3 linked regions of the Saccharomyces cerevisiae S288C genome follow. The gene in region 2 interacts genetically with the main gene of each other region. Each region holds a gene or a part of one and is shown on either strand. Other genes may lie near its edges.

Region 1 (5,502 bases), on a different chromosome or scaffold from region 2:
TTGACAAACAAGTATATTGAAATCTTTCAACACCTGGTTAATTATCTGTTACAAGAACTACAAAACTGGAGTGAAAATGCAGAACAAGATTCCGATGACACAGATACGGAATTGCAAAGAGATACTTTGGATGAAGACGCGATGCAAGTTACCAGGGACGGAAGTGGTATCCGAACCAATGGACCTGTACAACCTCCAGCAGAAGTTATGGACGTTTCTGAACAAGTGACTCCGTCTTCACTTACCGAAGTACTCGCCAACTCTTTAAAGTTCAACCATGCTTTGATGGAATTGGTTATTGAGTCGAAAATATCTATTGAAAAAAATGTCGAAACGAAAATCTTGAATCCTATTCAGATTAATTTCTTGGAAGATACAACCAATAAATTCTATTTACAACTACGCGACATTATAGACTCCATTTCCGCCGCCATTCCATTAGATTTGAAGGAAATCGGTTTAGCCAAGACTTTAATTGAAGGTTTGAACATCATTAGCTCCGGAACCTTCGAGTCATTGCAAGATTTTGTTCTGCAAACCGTCTCCTTTACCGATCTGCTTGATGAAAAAGATGTACAGGGTAAGATTGATCTTTCGTTGATTAGAGTTGATATCGTTGAATTTGCCATTCTATGTTTAAACGATTATTCTTCAGATGCATCTTGGAAACTCTCTGGGTTATTGACCAAAGTTCTTACAGAGGCTAGAACTTTATTAACAGACTATAGAAATCAAATCTTGTTTCTGAAAAATCAGACATTGAACGAACAATTGAGTCACGTAGTTTTTCAACTTTGTGATGTCTTAGTAAATTCCTCCGATAATGAACTGAGAAGGTACGCTATAAAAGAATCAACTGAAAAGTCACAAAAAACCCCCGGGGGAGCGCATACTTTAAACATATTGATGAAAAACGCTAACGTTTTTCTGAATAATGCTGTCGCTATCTCATCAAAACAGTGCGGGTTACAAGAAACGATTATTGATAAACTGAAGAGGAACTATATCCATAATCAAGCCAAGGAAAGACTACTTTTCTTACAGAGGCTGGAACAGAAGTCAAATGAGGATGACGGTACTTCTGCTTCGCCTACCGCAATGACGTTCGATATGCCACCAGAACACCCTTTTTATAGCCACTATCGGTAGTGAAATTACGTACATATACATAAGTAGAAGATAATTCGTTGCGCATATGCTACAAGAACCCTTGGTGAAACGAAATTTGATACAAGTAAATACATGCAGGAAACATACATTACCTCTGAAACAAAGCCGAGACGGGGCCCAGCAGTCTTTTTTTAGAAATCGCGTGGCTTGGTAACGCGATAATGACGCGACACAGCCATTAGTGTGAAATTTGATTTTCTTGGCCAAACTAGGTATAATATTTGTTACAAATTATTGATTTTAATATATATCTCGGGTTCATTTTTTACGTCGGTACTCCAAAGGATCAGAACACTTACATTTTGAGGCCTACCGGACCTTGCAGTACTGCTTGTTTAAATACGCAGTATACATTTCTTCTTCTTCTTCTCTCTTCTTTCCTTCCTCGAAGAGTCACTAAATTAATACTGGGAAGCCAAACCAAAAAAACTATACAATGAGTGATCAAAATAATCGATCGAGAAATGAATATCACTCAAACCGGAAGAATGAACCTTCCTATGAACTCCAAAATGCACATAGCGGGCTATTTCACTCTTCTAATGAAGAATTAACAAACAGGAACCAAAGATATACCAATCAAAATGCCAGCATGGGTTCATTCACTCCAGTCCAATCTTTGCAATTTCCAGAACAATCTCAGCAAACAAATATGCTTTATAACGGTGACGATGGCAATAATAATACTATCAATGATAACGAACGAGACATATATGGAGGTTTTGTCAACCACCATCGCCAGCGTCCCCCACCAGCAACTGCAGAATACAATGACGTTTTTAATACGAATAGTCAACAGCTACCGTCGGAACATCAATACAATAACGTACCTTCATATCCACTTCCTTCGATAAATGTGATTCAAACCACTCCAGAACTCATACATAACGGCTCACAGACTATGGCCACCCCCATCGAAAGGCCCTTCTTTAACGAAAACGACTACTATTATAATAACAGGAACTCTAGGACGTCACCGAGTATTGCTTCTAGTAGCGATGGTTATGCAGATCAGGAAGCTAGGCCCATTTTGGAGCAACCCAACAATAACATGAATAGCGGTAATATTCCTCAATACCATGACCAACCTTTTGGATACAACAATGGTTACCATGGCCTACAGGCAAAAGATTACTATGACGATCCGGAGGGTGGTTATATTGATCAGAGAGGAGATGACTATCAGATTAATTCATATTTGGGTAGAAACGGTGAAATGGTTGATCCTTACGATTATGAAAACAGTTTAAGACATATGACTCCTATGGAGCGTAGAGAATATCTTCATGATGATAGCAGACCCGTAAACGATGGAAAAGAAGAATTAGACAGTGTGAAAAGCGGTTACTCTCATAGAGACTTGGGGGAATATGACAAGGATGATTTTTCAAGGGATGACGAGTACGATGATCTCAACACTATTGATAAATTACAGTTTCAAGCTAATGGTGTACCTGCATCATCCTCGGTGTCTTCTATCGGATCTAAAGAATCCGACATAATAGTAAGCAATGATAACTTAACCGCAAATAGAGCACTAAAGAGAAGCGGTACTGAAATTAGGAAATTCAAACTTTGGAATGGTAATTTTGTTTTCGATTCTCCAATCAGTAAGACGCTATTGGACCAATACGCTACTACAACAGAAAATGCAAACACTTTACCAAATGAGTTTAAGTTTATGAGATATCAAGCAGTTACTTGCGAACCTAATCAACTTGCAGAGAAGAATTTCACGGTGAGGCAGTTGAAGTATTTAACTCCAAGGGAAACGGAATTGATGCTAGTAGTCACAATGTATAATGAAGACCATATCCTGTTAGGAAGAACTTTGAAAGGTATTATGGACAATGTCAAATATATGGTGAAAAAAAAAAATTCAAGCACTTGGGGGCCGGATGCATGGAAAAAGATTGTCGTTTGTATCATTTCAGATGGTAGATCCAAAATTAATGAACGCTCGCTAGCATTACTAAGTTCGTTAGGTTGTTACCAGGACGGGTTTGCTAAGGATGAAATTAATGAAAAAAAAGTGGCAATGCATGTCTACGAACATACGACAATGATCAACATCACAAATATTTCGGAATCAGAGGTTTCATTAGAATGCAATCAAGGTACCGTTCCAATACAACTTTTGTTTTGTTTGAAAGAGCAAAATCAGAAAAAAATTAACTCACATAGATGGGCATTTGAAGGCTTTGCAGAATTACTGCGTCCCAATATCGTTACATTGTTAGATGCTGGTACCATGCCAGGTAAAGATTCTATTTACCAGTTATGGAGAGAGTTCAGGAATCCAAATGTTGGTGGCGCATGTGGTGAAATAAGAACTGATTTGGGTAAGAGATTTGTAAAGCTTTTGAATCCTTTAGTTGCATCACAGAATTTCGAATACAAAATGTCCAATATTTTAGACAAAACAACCGAGTCTAACTTTGGATTTATTACTGTTCTACCGGGGGCATTCTCTGCGTATAGGTTTGAAGCTGTGAGAGGCCAACCATTACAGAAGTACTTTTATGGTGAAATTATGGAAAATGAAGGTTTTCATTTTTTTTCTTCCAATATGTATCTTGCTGAAGATCGTATTTTATGCTTTGAAGTGGTCACAAAAAAAAATTGTAATTGGATTTTGAAATACTGCAGAAGTTCTTATGCTTCAACAGATGTACCGGAGAGGGTCCCTGAATTTATTCTTCAGAGGAGGCGTTGGTTGAATGGTTCATTTTTTGCTAGTGTATATTCCTTTTGTCATTTTTACAGAGTCTGGAGCAGTGGTCATAATATTGGTAGAAAACTCCTTTTGACGGTTGAATTTTTTTACCTTTTCTTCAATACATTGATTTCATGGTTTTCATTGAGTTCATTTTTCCTAGTCTTTAGAATTCTCACTGTTTCTATTGCACTGGCATACCATTCAGCATTTAATGTGTTGTCCGTCATATTCCTGTGGCTTTATGGGATTTGTACCTTATCAACATTCATACTGTCATTGGGTAATAAACCTAAAAGTACTGAGAAATTTTATGTTCTAACTTGCGTCATTTTTGCGGTGATGATGATTTACATGATATTCTGCAGTATATTCATGAGTGTCAAATCCTTCCAAAATATATTGAAAAACGATACCATCAGCTTTGAGGGTTTGATTACCACAGAAGCTTTCAGGGATATTGTTATCTCTCTGGGCTCCACTTATTGTTTGTACCTAATCAGTTCAATTATCTATTTGCAGCCATGGCATATGTTGACAAGTTTTATTCAGTATATTTTATTGAGTCCTTCTTACATCAATGTTTTGAATATCTATGCATTTTGTAATGTCCACGACTTATCATGGGGTACAAAGGGTGCAATGGCAAATCCGCTGGGTAAGATTAATACTACAGAAGATGGTACGTTCAAAATGGAAGTTCTGGTCTCTAGTTCAGAGATTCAAGCAAACTACGATAAATATTTGAAAGTTTTAAATGACTTCGATCCAAAATCAGAATCTCGGCCTACTGAGCCATCTTATGATGAAAAAAAGACTGGCTATTATGCAAACGTTAGATCTCTCGTGATTATCTTTTGGGTCATCACAAATTTCATCATCGTTGCTGTTGTCTTAGAAACCGGTGGGATTGCAGATTATATTGCTATGAAATCCATATCAACTGATGACACTTTAGAAACTGCAAAGAAGGCGGAAATTCCCTTAATGACCAGTAAGGCCTCAATTTATTTTAATGTAATTTTATGGTTAGTTGCATTATCGGCATTAATAAGGTTCATTGGTTGCTCAATATACATGATAGTAAGGTTTTTTAAAAAGGTTACATTTCGCTAAGTAGATTGATTACCCCTTTGTTATAAATAAGTATATGTGTTTACTATCATATAATAATTAATTAGTTGTAAGTATGGTATTTTTCAAAGAAACATTTAGTATTATTTTTAAAGGGTGCCTTTACCATAAAACCAAAAAAAAATGGCTTCTGAGAGAAAAACATAAATAATTGATAAAACTGAAACTCACAACACCAACTCTTCCGCTCTAAACACCCAAAGCTCAAAAAACGACATGTGCACATCTATATCCATAAACTTTCAAAAAAGTGGTTCATTCGCAAATTCATGAAGTATTATTTAATACACAGTAATCTGGCATTTCATACTATCATTGCTCAAATTATCCGCCGGACCCTTGAAACTGTGGCGCTTTTTAAGACGCATCTCCAAAAAAAGAAAAAGAACAAAAGAAAAAAAGCTGCAAATATATATACAAAACAGATTTCACGTTTATTGCTTGGGAGTAAGGTAACGATCCGGAAGCCTTGAAGAAATTTG
Region 2 (8,411 bases):
AAGCCAAAATCTGTTTTTCAAGAGGCAGGAAAAGTCACTCTGGAAACAGATGAAAAAACTGACTTTTGGCGTGAAACATTTTACGGATTTACCCGTGATAGCGGTCATTTTTTGGGAGTAGAGACAGGTAGTGCTTTTACTGCACAAGTCCGTGTTCAGGGAAGCTACGAGAGTCTTTATGATCAGGCTGGTATCATGGTTCGTATAGATGATGGACATTGGCTCAAAGCTGGCATAGAAATTTCTGATGGCCACGCAATGCTAAGCAGTGTTTTGACAAATGGAAAATCAGATTGGTCAACTGCTGTTTATGGCGGAAATGCTCGCGATTTCTGGCTTCGTGTTACTGTTGAAAAGGGCGTTTTGAGGATTCAGGTGTCCTCTGATAAAAAAACATGGCCGTTAGTACGTTTGGCTCCATTTCCAACTTCTGACCATTACCTTGTTGGACCAATGGCTTGCACACCTGAGCGTGGCGGATTGAAAGTTACTTTCTCGGAATGGAGTCTCACAGCTCCTTTAGGAAAAGCTTTACATGATTTGAGTTAGTTCACCTATATATCAATATATAAAGAGGGGTTTGCTTTTGTTAAGAACAAGGCCTGCACCTCACTAAGATCTGTTGATTTGGCACTATGCTTTTTAAAATTTTGTTTATACTCAATTTCGTCAAGATTTTTTTTACTAGTACAATCCATACAGTTAACAAAATACTGGGCAATAAGGCGTGCATACTACGAAATTTTTAGTTTTGTTATAATAAACGACTTTTAGCTAGTGTTTTAAGATAAAGTGACGAAAGTTAGGGTGAGAATAGTCGAATGTATTTACTAATTATTGAATTCGTGGTAATTAGTACTTATGATGATGGGGTTTAAAGGGCTAAATTTAGACAATAGAAACAGTAATAATGATGTTTTCTATTTTTCTGCTGTACGTTGCTTTTTATTTTATATTTCTTCGGAAAAAGGTTCAGTGAATTTTCTGTCTTCTATATACATATATAAATTGCAATTGAAAATAGCGTACAGCGTAAGTTAAGTATCCAATGCTCACATATGAAAAGCAAAAGTAAAAAGAAATATACAAGTTTATTATTCATAAATATCGGCATAACTATTTGTTTCGAAAGATCAGTACGTTTATGTTAAATGTGCTCGTTACTTCAACAAGTAAAGTCTTCCTTCCCATGGCTGCAAGGTGCGGGAATCACCATTTGAGTTTGCATAGTTGCCAAAAAACATGGTGTAGGAGGCCTCATTATCAGGAACTGAAAAGTCCGTATTATCGCTACTGAAATTGAAAACAGCAAACATTTTTTTGTTATCTGTGTCCTTTGTAAACATGAATAGCTTGTCATTATCAAGATCAATGAACTGAAAGTTATGTCCATAAACAAGGATATCTTTGTGCTCCTTTCTAACTTGTAAGGCCTTTTTCCAGAAAAAGAAGACTGAGTTTTTATCTTTTAACTCAGCTTCTGCGTTGATTCCGTCTCTAAATGATTCATTCATGTCAATCCATGGTTTGGCATCCTTCGAGAAACCTGCAGAAGGCTCATCAGCACTCCATGGGAATGGTGTTCTCCCATGATCTCTAGAGATCAAAGCTAATGCTTCAAAAAACTTTTTCATCTTTTCAGAATCTTCACCATAATCACGTTTAATGGCGGCATATGTACCAGTACCTTCAACGCATTTGATTTGCTCAATTTTTCTGTTTTTGAAGTTGGGCATACCCAATTCTTGTCCTTGGTAGATAAAAACAGTACCAGTCAATGAAATGATGAGAGTAGCCAACATCTTGGACGAAATCTCACGCCATTTAGGAGAATCTGAGCCAAAACGCGAAACGCTACGAGGTTGATCATGATTCTCCAAATAGATGGTCGACCAGCAATCTGTGTTTTCGATAAACAGAAAGCTTTCAGCAAGAGCCAGCTTAAAGTCTTTTAAAGTAAAGGGAATAAGTTCGTACTTGCATTTTGGGTTTTCACCTACTGAGGTGTGCTTGAAGTTGAACATCATATTTAGTTCTCCTTCTTTGGCACTGGTATAAACTCTGAAGTCGTCTTCATTCCCGATACCAACTTCTCCAACAGTCATGATTTCTTTACCCTCTGGAACTTGCGAGAGCATGTAGTTATGCATTTCTTTATGATACTCATGGATACGTGGCCCATTTATGAAAAATTCAGTTCCTTTTTGGTAAGGAACTGTAGGATCAGTGATAGGAGCATCGGGTAGGCCCTCAACCTTAGAATACATGCTGCCTACGTCAATACGAAAGCCATCAACGTTGTGACGTAGCCAATAGCCCACTGAGGAGTCATAAATGGCTTTACGGCACTCTTCATTTTCCCAATTGAAATCAGGTTGGCCAAGAGCAAACACATGCAGAAAGAACTCACCAGTTTTTTCGTCATATCTCCAAGCAGATCCACCAAAGAAAGATCTCCAATTGTTGGGAGGAATTGGATTACCTTTCTCATCGTAACCCTTTGGAGGTCTCCAGAAAAACCAGTCACGCTTTGGATTAGCCTTAGAAGATCTACTCTCCTTGAACCATTCATGCTCTTCAGAACAGTGGTTGATAACCAGGTCAACAATAACCTTGATACCTCTCTTATGAGCTTCTTCTATCATTTGGAAACAATCCTCATTGGTACCGTAACGTGGCCAAACCTTCTCATAGTTGGCAATATCGTAACCCATATCTTCTTGAGGAGAGTCATAAAATGGGCACACCCATATCGCATCGACACCTAATTCTTTGACATAGTCAAGTTTGGAGGTAATCCCAGCTAAATCACCCCATCCGTCATTGTTGGAGTCCTTGAAACTAGCAGGATAAATTTGGTAGACGGTGGCTTCTTTCCACCATTTAGGATTATGGATGATCGTCATGTTTTTCTTTTCAATATTGAGCACTTTCTATATAGTCATCAAGAAACAGTAGTTTTTCGCACCAAGATATGTGAACAAGTGTCCTAATTTATAATTCGTCAGACGTTTATGAACTTACTCCTCAAAACCGTATCAATTACCGTAGCGGTAATGGAAGATACAATTCTTAAGTGTGAATTACTTTTTCCGGTGAATTAGCTTCTAGGATTGTGACTATTTCAATGGACAATGTTGCAAATAGTTTCAAATATTCCCGTGTTTCTCCGAGGATTCTCCACGGAGGAAAAATAATGCAAAGTTTATTTCCCCGTTTTCTTTTCTCCGTCTAGGCATTTACGCTTTCACGCAACTTTATTATATCACCTCCGCGGGGATTCAACAACGAGGTATGTGGAGAAGGAGAGAAATTCCAGAGAAAGCAGCCTAGAGCATCCTGCTGCAGCAACTTATAAACGTATCTCACAGAAAAGGCCGGAGAAAGTTCTTGAAATGTGTAATTTAGCCTACCTGCCAAGCGGCTGGAATTATCCCGAGAATAATTCCGCGACCGGGCCTGTTCCTGAACTCTAAGAAGTTTTGGAATTTCCGAACGCTTCTTCGCATGAAAGACATGAACTCTTAAGTAAAATAATATGAACTGGCATGGTCGTAATCTTTTGGACGACGGAATATCATCGCTAACCATTGTAAGGGATGAAGCTTGACTAGATATATTTAAACGACCATTTTTGTTTCATTCTTATTTTAGATTGCATTTTTTATAAGTCACTTTTAGTTAGCTCAGAACGCCAGCAAAAACCATGACTGATCGTAAAACCAACTTGCCAGAAGAACCGATTTTCGAAGAGGCAGAAGATGATGGCTGCCCTTCGATAGAAAATTCTTCACATCTGTCAGTACCTACAGTGGAGGAAAACAAGGACTTTTCCGAGTATAATGGGGAAGAGGCAGAGGAAGTTGTTGTTCCAGAAAAGCCTGCTTCAGCCTATGCTACTGTTTCTATCATGTGTTTATGTATGGCTTTCGGTGGATTTATGTCCGGTTGGGACACAGGTACGATTTCTGGTTTCGTCAATCAGACTGATTTTTTAAGAAGATTTGGTAATTATAGCCATTCCAAGAACACTTACTACTTATCTAATGTGAGAACTGGGTTGATTGTGTCCATCTTCAATGTGGGAAGCGCCATTGGCTGTCTTTTCTTGTCTAAATTGGGTGATATTTACGGCCGCTGCATGGGTTTGATTATAGTTATTGTCGTTTATATGGTTGGTATTGTCATTCAAATTGCCTCTATAGATAAGTGGTATCAGTATTTTATTGGAAGAATTATCGCTGGTATAGGTGCTGGTTCCATTAGTGTTCTTGCCCCGATGCTTATTTCGGAAACTGCGCCAAAGCATATCAGAGGTACGTTGCTAGCTTGTTGGCAATTGATGGTGACTTTCGCAATTTTCTTGGGTTATTGTACCAATTATGGTACCAAGACTTACTCGAATTCTGTCCAGTGGCGTGTTCCGCTTGGTCTATGTTTTGCATGGGCTATTATTATGATTGGTGGTATGACGTTTGTTCCGGAATCTCCTCGGTTTTTGGTGCAAGTCGGTAAGATTGAGCAAGCTAAAGCTTCTTTTGCCAAGTCGAACAAGCTTAGTGTTGACGATCCTGCTGTGGTTGCAGAGATTGATCTTCTTGTTGCTGGTGTGGAGGCAGAAGAAGCAATGGGAACTGCTTCATGGAAGGAATTATTTTCGAGAAAGACTAAAGTTTTTCAACGTTTAACGATGACAGTCATGATTAACTCTCTGCAGCAACTAACCGGTGACAACTATTTCTTCTACTACGGTACTACTATCTTCAAATCTGTCGGTATGAATGACTCTTTTGAGACTTCAATTGTCTTGGGTATTGTGAATTTTGCTTCTTGCTTCTTTTCACTTTATTCTGTTGATAAGTTGGGCCGTCGTAGATGTCTTTTACTTGGAGCAGCCACCATGACGGCGTGCATGGTTATTTACGCCTCCGTTGGCGTCACAAGACTATATCCGAACGGTAAAAGTGAACCATCATCTAAAGGTGCTGGTAATTGTACGATTGTTTTCACGTGTTTTTACATTTTCTGCTTTTCCTGCACCTGGGGACCTGTATGTTATGTGATTATTTCTGAAACATTTCCATTAAGGGTGAGATCCAAGTGTATGTCCGTTGCAACAGCGGCCAACTTATTGTGGGGGTTCCTAATCGGGTTTTTCACTCCTTTTATTACTTCGGCAATTAATTTCTACTACGGTTACGTTTTCATGGGTTGCTTAGCGTTTTCATATTTTTACGTCTTTTTCTTTGTTCCAGAAACAAAAGGTCTAACTTTAGAAGAAGTTGATGAGATGTGGATGGACGGTGTATTACCTTGGAAATCTGAATCCTGGGTACCAGCTTCTAGAAGGGATGGTGATTATGATAACGAAAAATTACAGCATGACGAGAAACCCTTCTACAAAAGAATGTTTTAGACCGGTGAAAACACACGCAAGCAAACTTCAAAGTACATTGATAAATAATGTCCAATGCCCTCTGTAATATAGGGGCTTTTTAATTCCTAAGACTGATTCGATATATTAAACACCAGGGCTACTGAAGACTGACAGTCACGTTGAGTCCTATTATATCATTTTACTCACAGAAGATTTGGTAATATGATACTTAGATGGGCTTAACAACAAAGTGTTTTCTTGATGTTACTGCCCATGAAAAAAAGCAAATCAAATTAGTAGGCGGATTGTTAACTTTGTTTATTTTGAAACCCGTCAGGACTACCAAAATATAACAAAGTATTGATTATCGTCAACGCTTTATAGATCACTTTTTTTTTTTTTTGAGGAACCGATTAATTAATACATCGTAGCCTCTGCTTATTGCATAACACAACAAAAAAATACAATAATACGCAACTTTTGTTTATAGAAAAATAAAAATGGAACATATGATATTCTCTGTTCGTCATATGATAACTTAAGCACTTTCGTGTGTACATAGGTATTCTAGTGCATTGGAATGAGATCAATTATGATTTCCTAACCCAGAATTTATATTACTAATGATTTCAGAATTAATAAAAGCTGAAATAAAAGGAGTAGCAATGTAATAGGAAATAAACGAGGGCACATAGAAAGGAAGAAGAAAAATTACATTATGTGGAATTATTGATTCCCTTGGCAATTTCCCATAGTCTCATGAAAATTCCTGGCCTATTCTGTATTCATAATTCCATACTCTTTTTTAACAATGAAACTCCGGTAATTACCACAATATTTACTTATATCTCAATACGAACGCATGTTCTCTTCGAGGAAGACCAGCATTAGCGCTAAGCGCTAAGCGATGAGTTGACTTAATTTTTAAAAGGACGATGTTGGCGCGTTAGTGCATAAGAAAGTCAGCAAATCCCTTTAAGCTGAAAACCTTGATATATTTCTCGGCCTTTAATAATGGCGCAACTGATTTTAATTATCTTTGAATGGCTTATCTGTAACGAACATGTGTTACTAAACTAGTAGTAAGTTAGAAATACTGTTTATCCAGAATATGTAAGTTGGTGCTTCTAAAGTAATATAAGACCGCTTTAATTTGTTGTAACCTCTGAAATACAGGTAACCGCTGGGTCATCTCCTATCTAACTTTTGGTAAAAATGACATCGAAAAGAACAATTTTCGAAATATTCAATTTGTTCGGGTGTCGGTTTAATGCTCAAGGCCCCAATATTTCATAATAGGATTCTAAGAATTGCAGAAAATTCAGCTATGTTTCACCCATTTTGTTATTGGTGAAAACCGCCAAATCGATATCGATATAGTCACATTTTAGAGCGTGCCGATAGTCTCTAAACTTACACGAACGTCATTATTTGTAAGTAGACAACTGGGAATTTTAAAAAAGGTTGAGAAGATTCGTTTTATAAAATATGACGTCGTAAAAGAAGAAAGTGACAATACTGTTGCTGCGGGTTAAAAAAATAATTCTCCTACAAGCTTGAGACCTTTATTACAATTCCTACCTAAATTGGCTCTTCAGGGGGGTTTTCTAGGCAGGTATCTCTAGAATTTACTCAAGAAGTTTATTTTCTAGTGCCAAAAAGTCTACTGCTGATATTCGCTTCTACTGATTAAGAGCTGCTTTAAACCATCTTGTTGCAACATTGAGTTTGGACTTAAAGCCTCAAGTTGTTAGTGATGTTGCTTTTCAGGATGACGTGTAGTTGATCATCTTACAGAAAAGGAAGCAATGGTACGTATAAGATATTATTTTAAATGAGAAGTAGCTGGTCTTCAAATCACAGACATTGTGATGGCAAAGCAGTGATAAATAAAGTTTTCACACCCAAAGCAACATCTTTCCAAACCGTTTGTGTGCCGTGGTGAACAGATAGAAGAGGGCACTGTTATTCAAATTTTGAGGGTCGGGAGAATTAACTCGTTAATTATTCCTGGTGTCGAATTTGCGTCATTCCTAAACTTGGATATTCTTATATGGCAAAAAAAGAATTTTTTATGCCACCAACACGACGGCATATTCTGGAGTGATTATAGCCACTGCTAACAAGATAAGGCGGTAACACCCGATTGTGCAGATGTCCTCATTTATCCTGTTTCCGAGCATTTGATTAACCGTCTCTGTGAGACCAGTTAAAGACCTCTCTCAAGAAAAATATGTAAATTTTTTTCAGCCACTTTATCGGCACTGGAACGAAACGATATGGTATTCCCAGTATCAGCCACGGCCCCGTGTAAGCCGTAAAGTAAACAAAAATTTTTACCACTAATTTCGTTGCGTATCAATTTATACTATTCTTTGTGAAAACCTACACAGACTACCAACAGAAATTTTTTTGGTCAAACGAGTCCAGTCTGGTTATTCGCTGGTTCATGTAAAATGTTAGCACCATCTACAGATTCCGAACATTAAAATCGTATTATGCATAATATAGACATTAATGAGCAATCTGTTCATTACCCCCTTATCGTATGGCAACAGCTATTCCTGATGTAATAGTGATGTTATATTGCTTTCGCCATTATTAATTTTGAGGAAGCTTTCCAAACAGATTACATAGCTAACTAATTGCAATTTTGCGACGCCATAAGGATACGCGATTTCCTCCTTTTCTTTTTCGCGTTGTTCTGTGCGCTCTTTTTTTCAGCCAAAAAGGGTTCCTGAACAAAAAGACCCTGTTTTTTTTCTGCCTGTTAACTCTGATCTTAAAAAGTTACCAATTTTCTAACATTTCTCAATAAAGACCCTTCGATAAACAAGATTCTTGAGAAATAAAAATTTTTGTGACGTTTACTTTTGAAAGTCCTTGAAGAATTCATTACTAATAGAGAAAAAATGGTGATAATTTTTTTACTTCACCTCCTTTCTACTATCCCTCTTATTCGGATTATCTAGCTTTAACTTCGCCAGTTTTTTCTTGACACACTTCACAGATGATGGTGCCTTCATGTCGGCAT
Region 3 (7,752 bases), on a different chromosome or scaffold from region 2:
GGTTATAAACTATCTAGTACGGTTAAAAGCTTGTCAATCTGTTCACAAACCATGTAATCTTCATCTTGATCACGAACGTAAGATAATAGTGTTTTTAGCTTATCGTAGTTGTACTCAAAGGGAAGTAAATCAAATCCTGTACTGTACAACAAATCATGTATCAAGTGTACGGCACTTCTTCTCATCAAAAAAGAATCATCCTTGTCCTTCAAATGATTTTGTGGTTGTTCTAATTGCAATATTCCAAATACACAATCCAGCATATCGCGAATTCTATCCGAGACACCCCTGGCGTTGATTTGAAGGCACATACCTAAGATTGACATGGATGACATACGCCATCTATTGTCCAATGGTTTACTATCATTTGGCCTCACAATACTAAGACAGGTATCTATAATCAGATAAGCCAATTTACCCTGGAACAATTCGTTCTGACGTTGAATGTAATTGATGAACACTTCTCCAACTTTCAGCACATCATCTAATCTGTTTTTCTTTTTTTTGTTAGCATAAAATTCTGCAAGTAGAGGCAATATGGTTTCTGGCTCTAATTCACATAGCGTTGTAAGTCCTTTAATAACGTTGAGATAAATGAAAGGGTCCATATTCTTTAAATAATCTAAATGTATTTGCAACACCTTTTCCAGTGAAATTACTGGAGACTTCTTTTCAGCTAGATGACGTAGTTCTGTTAAACCATAAGATTTTATGGGCACTAAAGGATCATGTAGACTAGTTATCGCTTTGTCAAGCCTTTCCTCATCCATCTCAATTTCTATGTTGTCGTTCCTTTCCGTAGTATGTCCGTTAATCAATATATTATCTATTGATGCCAATAATGCATCTATTTCGGAAGCATTAGTGTTGAAAGATTGTAATTTTCTAGAAATGGATTTCAATATATAACTGTTTTGCAATAATATACTACTGGACGATTCTGAAAGGACGGTTGATAATAACTGCAAGATAATTTTGTAGGAAGAATTTTCATTTGGATCCAATTCTTCTGTTTCTTCTCCTTCTTCAACTTCGTCGTCAGAATCTGCTTCTACTTCCTGTATTGTTTCATCTTTTTCCTGAACAACATCTATCAATTGATCAATAACAATAAGAACGTCCTTAGGTTTATTAACAATCTTGGTTTTAAATCGGTTGTTCATACATTCCAAAAGTTTCAAGTCCATGAGTATTAACGCGTTATCTGTAACGCTTGGCATCCCGCTATGATTATCGGAAGATCTTTTTTCACTTTTTTTTGTATGATGGACCCATCTTTTCAGAATATCTAAAAATAAAGTCTTTGATTGTTCCTCATCATTTAGCAGCACTAAAAATTCCATAAATAATTCTATCGAAAGGTCCATATCTTGAAGAAACTCAGAAATTTGAGAGTTTTTGGATCCTTTTTCGAAAAACAACTCTGCCATATCTGTGTTTTTAACCGATATGTAGGGTAGCTGAGTATCAAGATCAATTAAATACTTCCATTTCTCGTGCTCAAAATTCAGTAAGTTAAGGCTCAGTACATTTAGATATTGAAAATTTTCTGTTATGACTATTAGAGATTTTAATAATGATAATACAACCTCGTAATACTTTGAGGAAGATTGCTCTGGAAAATGTATGCTGTCTGTGCTTTTATTATCTGAAATAGACAATTTGTTTATTTCTAATGGGTCTAGTTTTTGGTTTTTCTTCAAAAAAAGAGCATATATCCATACATATAAAAAGAACTGTCCAGGCGTAGTACCGTCTTCATCAGGGCAACTAGTAACTAAATCATTCAGCAAATCCGATGAAGAATTTTTGGATAAAGATATAAGAACGTTTATAACATCGTTCAGTTCCTTTGCTGTATGATCAGTTAACGGGGAATTAAAGATAATGGAGCGGACCTTCTTAAACAAAAAATCGTTAACAATCCTCTTATTCCTCAGGTAAAATTTAAGGATTAGTCCGTTCAAACAAGTGACCAGGATAGGCCTGTTCACAAAGGTGAGACCATCATAAATTTGCTTGAATAGTTCCGTCAAGTATTGCAAATTTGTCATTGTTTTTGGCTTACTCATCAAAATTTGGTAGATACGGTTAAACTTTTCAATATCTATATCTTCAGCATCTCTCACACCCAAAACGAAATCAATCAAGCTGATCAGACCATTTTCCGGTCTTCGTAGAGTTAACGTTGTTAACTTCGAAAGGATTGGCTCCCTAACCTTTTCGTCTTGAATTGTTTCTACTAGTAGAGTGTAAACCCCAAACAAAGTATAAGTTTCTTGAGTATCTTCTAGATTTGTAATCATTTGTGAAGAGTACCTATTAGGCAACTGCAAATGTAACACAATCAAACCTAATAAAATGTTTGCGTAAGCACTGCCTTTTGATATTATTTCTCTCAGGTAGTCAGAAGACCTCTCACTAGTTAGAACATTATAAAAGACAGTTATGACTTGAGATAAAGTATCGTTATTTATGGTGTGCCATCGAGGCGTTTCATATTCTGCGCTTTTTTGGCCCTTCTTGAAAGTATTTATTCTTTTCGAATCGAATGGAATTTTCATCGTAGGAGACAAATTAGCATCTATACCATGAATAATCAAAAGATTTATCAGTTCGTCTACGTATTTCATATCATGCAATGAGATAGGCAATAAGTCACTTTTACTTTCGATGAGCCTCCGTTGCTGTTCTAGTACGTGAATGTGCAAATTCTGGAATTTCTGTAAAAGTACTGCAACAAACTCATTGTTATTTGAGCACTTCAACGCCTGATAAATGGAAGAGGATGATGATGAGCCTGAATCAAGAACATATTCGTTTATGGGAGTAATTACATTGTCATCCAGATCTTCGAAGAAAACATCTAGGGCTGTCTTTTTGGTGAGCTTCGGTCTTGTATTCAATATATCGTGTATGTTGATCTTTTGCTCTTTATCCTCATTCATTTTCCAACCTTTTGTTTTTCTTGATCTGATATGACAAGAAGAAACATGAGGCGGTGATGAGCCCTTATTGCTATATGCTGTTCGACGCGATGAGATGATTACATGTTTTTTATTAAATTTCTCAAGCAGACTGCGGGTAACCTTGATTTTTAATTATTCAATAGGAATTCTTTTTTTTTTTAGAAAATAAAATGTTCTGCGTAGTGTACTTCTATTTATAAATATAATAATATTATTGATTAATTAGGCATCGCATTTTCAAAAATTTTTAAGAATGCGGGACACCAATTTGAGATTGTTGTGTCAGTAACCATCCAATGTTTAATGGTTTTCACGGCCATATTTTTGTCTTTTTCATTGAAAATCTGGGATAGTACTGTTTTGGTGTGCTCGTTTTGTAAAATCTTGGTAATGTTTGAATCTAATTTTTTCTTGTAAAATTCCAACTCCTTCGAAGAGAGCTTCGAGCCACACACACAGAGGTCGTTGATCTTAGCCACTAATTCTTCTTTACTGCATAATATCGGCTGGAGCTGTCTATCGCCTTGGTCTTTTACGAGCACACCTTCACAGGCAGATTCTTGTTGAGCAGCAGTTACAGATGGCCTCCTCAAAACTGGTGGCGGCGTAGTAGCTGTTTTAGTGTTCCCATAAAGATCTAACACTTCTGTGGCAAGTCTGCCGCTAACACATCTTTTCGATTTCGTTCTTTGTTTAGATTTGGATCTAGGTCCGCTATTAGGGTCGATAGAAAACAAAACTGTCGGACAGTCGTTATAACCAGGCACTTCAGCTTCTAGACAATTCTGAAAACTTTTGGTTGGTTTAATAGCCATCGTACGTAATAGTATGTGCGGAAATAGATTGACGAAGAACCGACAGATGCGCGTCTACTGAAGCTCTTATGAGTAGCCTGTGTGAATAAAGAAGCCAGCTAAAAGTAAATATGTGGCATCTTTATGTCTTACGAGCCGGGTACCAAGCGGCAGCAAAGGGTCCCCCCTAAACGACGTGCTTATCACCCGGCCGTTGTTTACGAAATGGCCTTTTTTGACGTTTTTAGTTTCAATGGATGGATGAAAAAAGCAAGTAAAATGACAAATAAATGCTGTTGGCAGGTTAAATCGTTTAATATACCCATAAGAGAGCTGGAATAGTGTGGAATTGTAATACTTTACATTTGAAAACTGCCCATACACGCACAAATATTGCAGCAATGAGCAACGCTAATCCTTATGAGAATAACAATCCGTACGCTGAAAACTATGAAATGCAAGAGGACTTGAACAATGCTCCTACTGGTCACTCAGATGGTAGCGACGATTTCGTAGCTTTTATGAACAAGATCAACTCAATAAATGCTAACTTGTCCAGGTACGAAAACATTATCAACCAAATTGATGCGCAACACAAAGACCTACTTACTCAAGTGAGTGAGGAACAGGAGATGGAATTGAGACGTTCTTTGGACGATTACATCTCTCAGGCCACAGATTTGCAGTATCAATTGAAAGCGGATATCAAAGATGCCCAGAGAGACGGATTGCACGACTCTAATAAACAGGCACAAGCTGAAAATTGCAGACAGAAATTCTTAAAATTAATTCAAGACTACAGAATTATCGATTCTAACTACAAAGAAGAAAGCAAAGAGCAGGCGAAGAGACAGTACACAATTATCCAACCGGAAGCCACTGACGAAGAAGTGGAAGCCGCCATCAACGATGTCAATGGCCAGCAGATCTTTTCCCAAGCGTTGCTAAACGCCAATAGACGTGGTGAGGCCAAGACAGCATTGGCCGAAGTACAGGCTAGACATCAAGAGTTGTTGAAGTTGGAAAAAACAATGGCTGAACTTACCCAATTGTTCAATGACATGGAAGAGTTGGTCATCGAACAACAAGAAAATGTGGATGTCATTGACAAAAACGTCGAAGACGCTCAGCAAGATGTAGAGCAAGGTGTGGGTCACACCAACAAGGCCGTTAAGAGTGCCAGAAAAGCAAGAAAAAACAAAATAAGATGTTTGATCATCTGCTTTATTATCTTTGCTATTGTTGTTGTCGTTGTGGTTGTTCCATCCGTTGTGGAAACAAGAAAGTAATAGAGCACATGCGCCTCCCTCCCGCCAGCCCCCCAATTCCTATTATGTGTAATCAAACAATTTCTATTAAAACCGAAAACCTAAAAATTGTAACGTCTTTTCTCTTTCCTACTATACCCTCCTCATACCTGCCTTTTTAACAATTAGTATTATAATTTTTTTTTTTCACAAAAAGACAATACCGACTATCTAATAAATAATTTTAATACGTATGTAATTTCGTTAAGAACAAGAATTTTTAAGTAAAAAATCTTACTTTTAAGAAAAACTGTCGCCCTTAATATTAGTCCCAATTTTGTAACGAAAAATAAAATACAAATCGGGGTGGAAAAAGGGAAATTTTACAACATTATTATTCCAAAAACTAGTTTTCAAAAAGTAAATCGTGGGGGTATGAACAACAATTGTTGTAGTCGCAACTACGGTAATTGGTCCTAAAAAATTATTCTCCGGGAAAAAAAGAAGAAACAAAGAGATCCCGAAACATAAGTCCCGTGATTCTTTTTGCCCCCCGCTTTCTTTCGCCAAGAGAAGAGCAATTTATTGAAAGGCTTTTCTTGATGTTTTTGGGTTGTGAAAGCGTTAATAGCGCCAAGTTAGAATAGTAAATATCACAACTACAATATCTACACTTCTCACTTGCGCATTAACCTGCACACGTACTAGACTTTATCTGTCTTGATTGTTACTTCTAGACCAATCAACATTGAAGCGCTCGGCAAATGCTTGACAAGAAAAAAAACTAATTTTCCCTTCGCCTTTTATAGTGCCCATCGGATAGGATATTCCATCTTTGTCTTGCGCCCACTTCGTTGTCGTTACCCGCACGTTGTGTTTTTTGAGGGCTTGAGCAAATTCTTACAGTTAAGGTACAATAGTTGTCTCGAAGAGCAGTACATCAACGGCCTGACGACCTACAGTAGCACTTTCCTTTAAGTGTATATAAACTTTCCTTTTCGGTAAGGGATGCAGGAGAAAGGGCGAGTTTTGTTTATATGCGATCCTTTATGGTAACCTTTGCGGTTAATTCAGCATTATGGTTGCTGATGCACACTTAACGAGGGGAAGAAATATTATGTTACATGCATGAAACGCACTCGGTTTTCTCATGGTCTTTCTTTTTTCGGGATTTCTTTTAATAATATCTTTAAAGTATTACTGGTAGTCGGTCTTTCCCCACACAAAAAAAATTAAAAAAAAAAAAAAAAAAAAGAAACTTTCCGGCGCTCCTTCAGGAGTCTCGTAACTGATGCTTTTTCTCTTCCTAATATTAAGATAAAAAAAAAATTAAACACCGGTAGCAACTTCTCGAGCCATAGGGTCCTGCACACCCTGCCATGTTACCGCACGGACCATTAAGTTACGTGGATGCCGGACTCTCAAGCCATGAAAAGTTTATCTTTATTTAAGTAGAGTTTTTCCTTCTTCTCAAATTTCTGAGAATTTTTATCTTCGATCATTCCCTCTTTTTTTCTTTTTTTCTTTTTTTCTTTTTTTCTTTTTTTTTTCCCTTCTCTTACTTTCTTATTTTTTTTTTTCATTCCTCAGCGGATCCCTTCAATCGTTTATAACATTATTTTCCTTCTCTTTTCTTTCATTGTATCTTCTTGATTTCAACTATTGTTTGTGTGTATATGAACAGACGCCTCCTTCTCTTTCTTTCGTGTATTCTTGATTCAATTGCGACTTCATAGCACTATTCCTCCCCACTCACGTCTATAGTCCAGGACAATTAGCATGACACTGGTTAAACATGAGAGGAAAACAACCGAAAAGGAACAAAGACAACGCTTCTGTCAAGAGAAATTATAGATGCGTGGGATATCCTGATTGTAACATGAGTTTCAATAGGACCGAACATTTGGCTAGACATATCAGGAAACACACAGGGGAGAAACCATTCCAATGCAATATCTGCCTTAAATTCTTCAGTAGAATCGATAACTTAAGACAACATCAATCTTCTGTTCATTCGGACGTTGATTTGATGTCCTTACGTAGACTGCAGCAGTCCGCAAATAGCACTGCGAACGACCCTAACGCAACAAGAATGTTCCCGCAATTACGCCCATATGGAATTGTTGTCCAGCCCGCGCCTGTTCCATACAATCTGCCCATATCAACTCCTGCTAGCCCACAAGACACTATATCTCTTTACGCACCACCATACTTCCCTCATCCTATGCCATCTGCTCCCATACCATTGCCGCATCAGCCTCCTCCACTACCAATATACAGCTATATGCAACCACTCTTCCTGAACCACACTCCCATACAAAACCACAACATTGTAGAGCTCCCTCCAGATAGCAGTGACACTCCAGCATCGCCGTCTAAGGTGCAAAGTTTTGACCAGGCCAAGGACGCTTCACCAAACGCAAAAAAATAAGCTCTACCGCACCCACTCCTCCATTTCACAAGCCGCATCATTGCTGCTATTGTACCCTCTTGGCCATTCGCGTGCGCGTTGATTGCCGTTATTATGCAGATATTTTGATATCGCTTGCCGTTTGGCTCATCTCCGCGCCCTTAAAATATATCCGCTTCTGTTGGGAAATGCCGAGCATAAAAATGCCGAAAATATAAAAAGAACAAGAACAATACCCTTCGAGGGAAACGCTATTTTCCTGTCCACACAACCTTAATTAATTCGCACGTCTGTGCCACCAAGTAGCAACTGGTTCGTATTGCTTTATCTTT

Evidence for each region.
Region 1: mutations in HXT8 (region 2) and CHS1 are lethal when combined (synthetic lethality), as found in Saccharomyces cerevisiae (2 studies listed by BioGRID, with this or other methods).
Region 3: mutations in HXT8 (region 2) and SSO2 together harm fitness more than expected from each alone (negative genetic interaction), as found in Saccharomyces cerevisiae (2 studies listed by BioGRID).

The regions. Positions count from the first base shown.
Region 1 is NC_001146.8:274,896-280,397, forward strand, and holds CHS1 (chitin synthase CHS1), read left to right. Parts: upstream 1-1,606; coding exon 1,607-5,002; downstream 5,003-5,502. Other genes in the region: YNL193W (uncharacterized protein), read left to right, coding at 1-1,149. UniProt on the Saccharomyces cerevisiae protein: Polymerizes chitin, a structural polymer of the cell wall and septum, by transferring the sugar moiety of UDP-GlcNAc to the non-reducing end of the growing chitin polymer. Required for mitotic division septum formation during adverse conditions.
Region 2 is NC_001142.9:23,181-31,591, forward strand, and holds HXT8 (hexose transporter HXT8), read left to right. Parts: upstream 1-3,706; coding exon 3,707-5,416; downstream 5,417-8,411. Other genes in the region: REE1 (Ree1p), read left to right, coding at 1-549; oligo-1,6-glucosidase IMA5, read right to left, coding at 1,161-2,906. UniProt on the Saccharomyces cerevisiae protein: Probable glucose transporter.
Region 3 is NC_001145.3:624,221-631,972, reverse strand, and holds SSO2 (syntaxin), read left to right. Parts: upstream 1-4,164; coding exon 4,165-5,052; downstream 5,053-7,752. Other genes in the region: RTP1 (Rtp1p), read right to left, coding at 3-2,948; ADD37 (Add37p), read right to left, coding at 3,188-3,784; MIN3 (Min3p), read right to left, coding at 6,076-6,162; RGM1 (Rgm1p), read left to right, coding at 6,806-7,441. UniProt on the Saccharomyces cerevisiae protein: Required for vesicle fusion with the plasma membrane.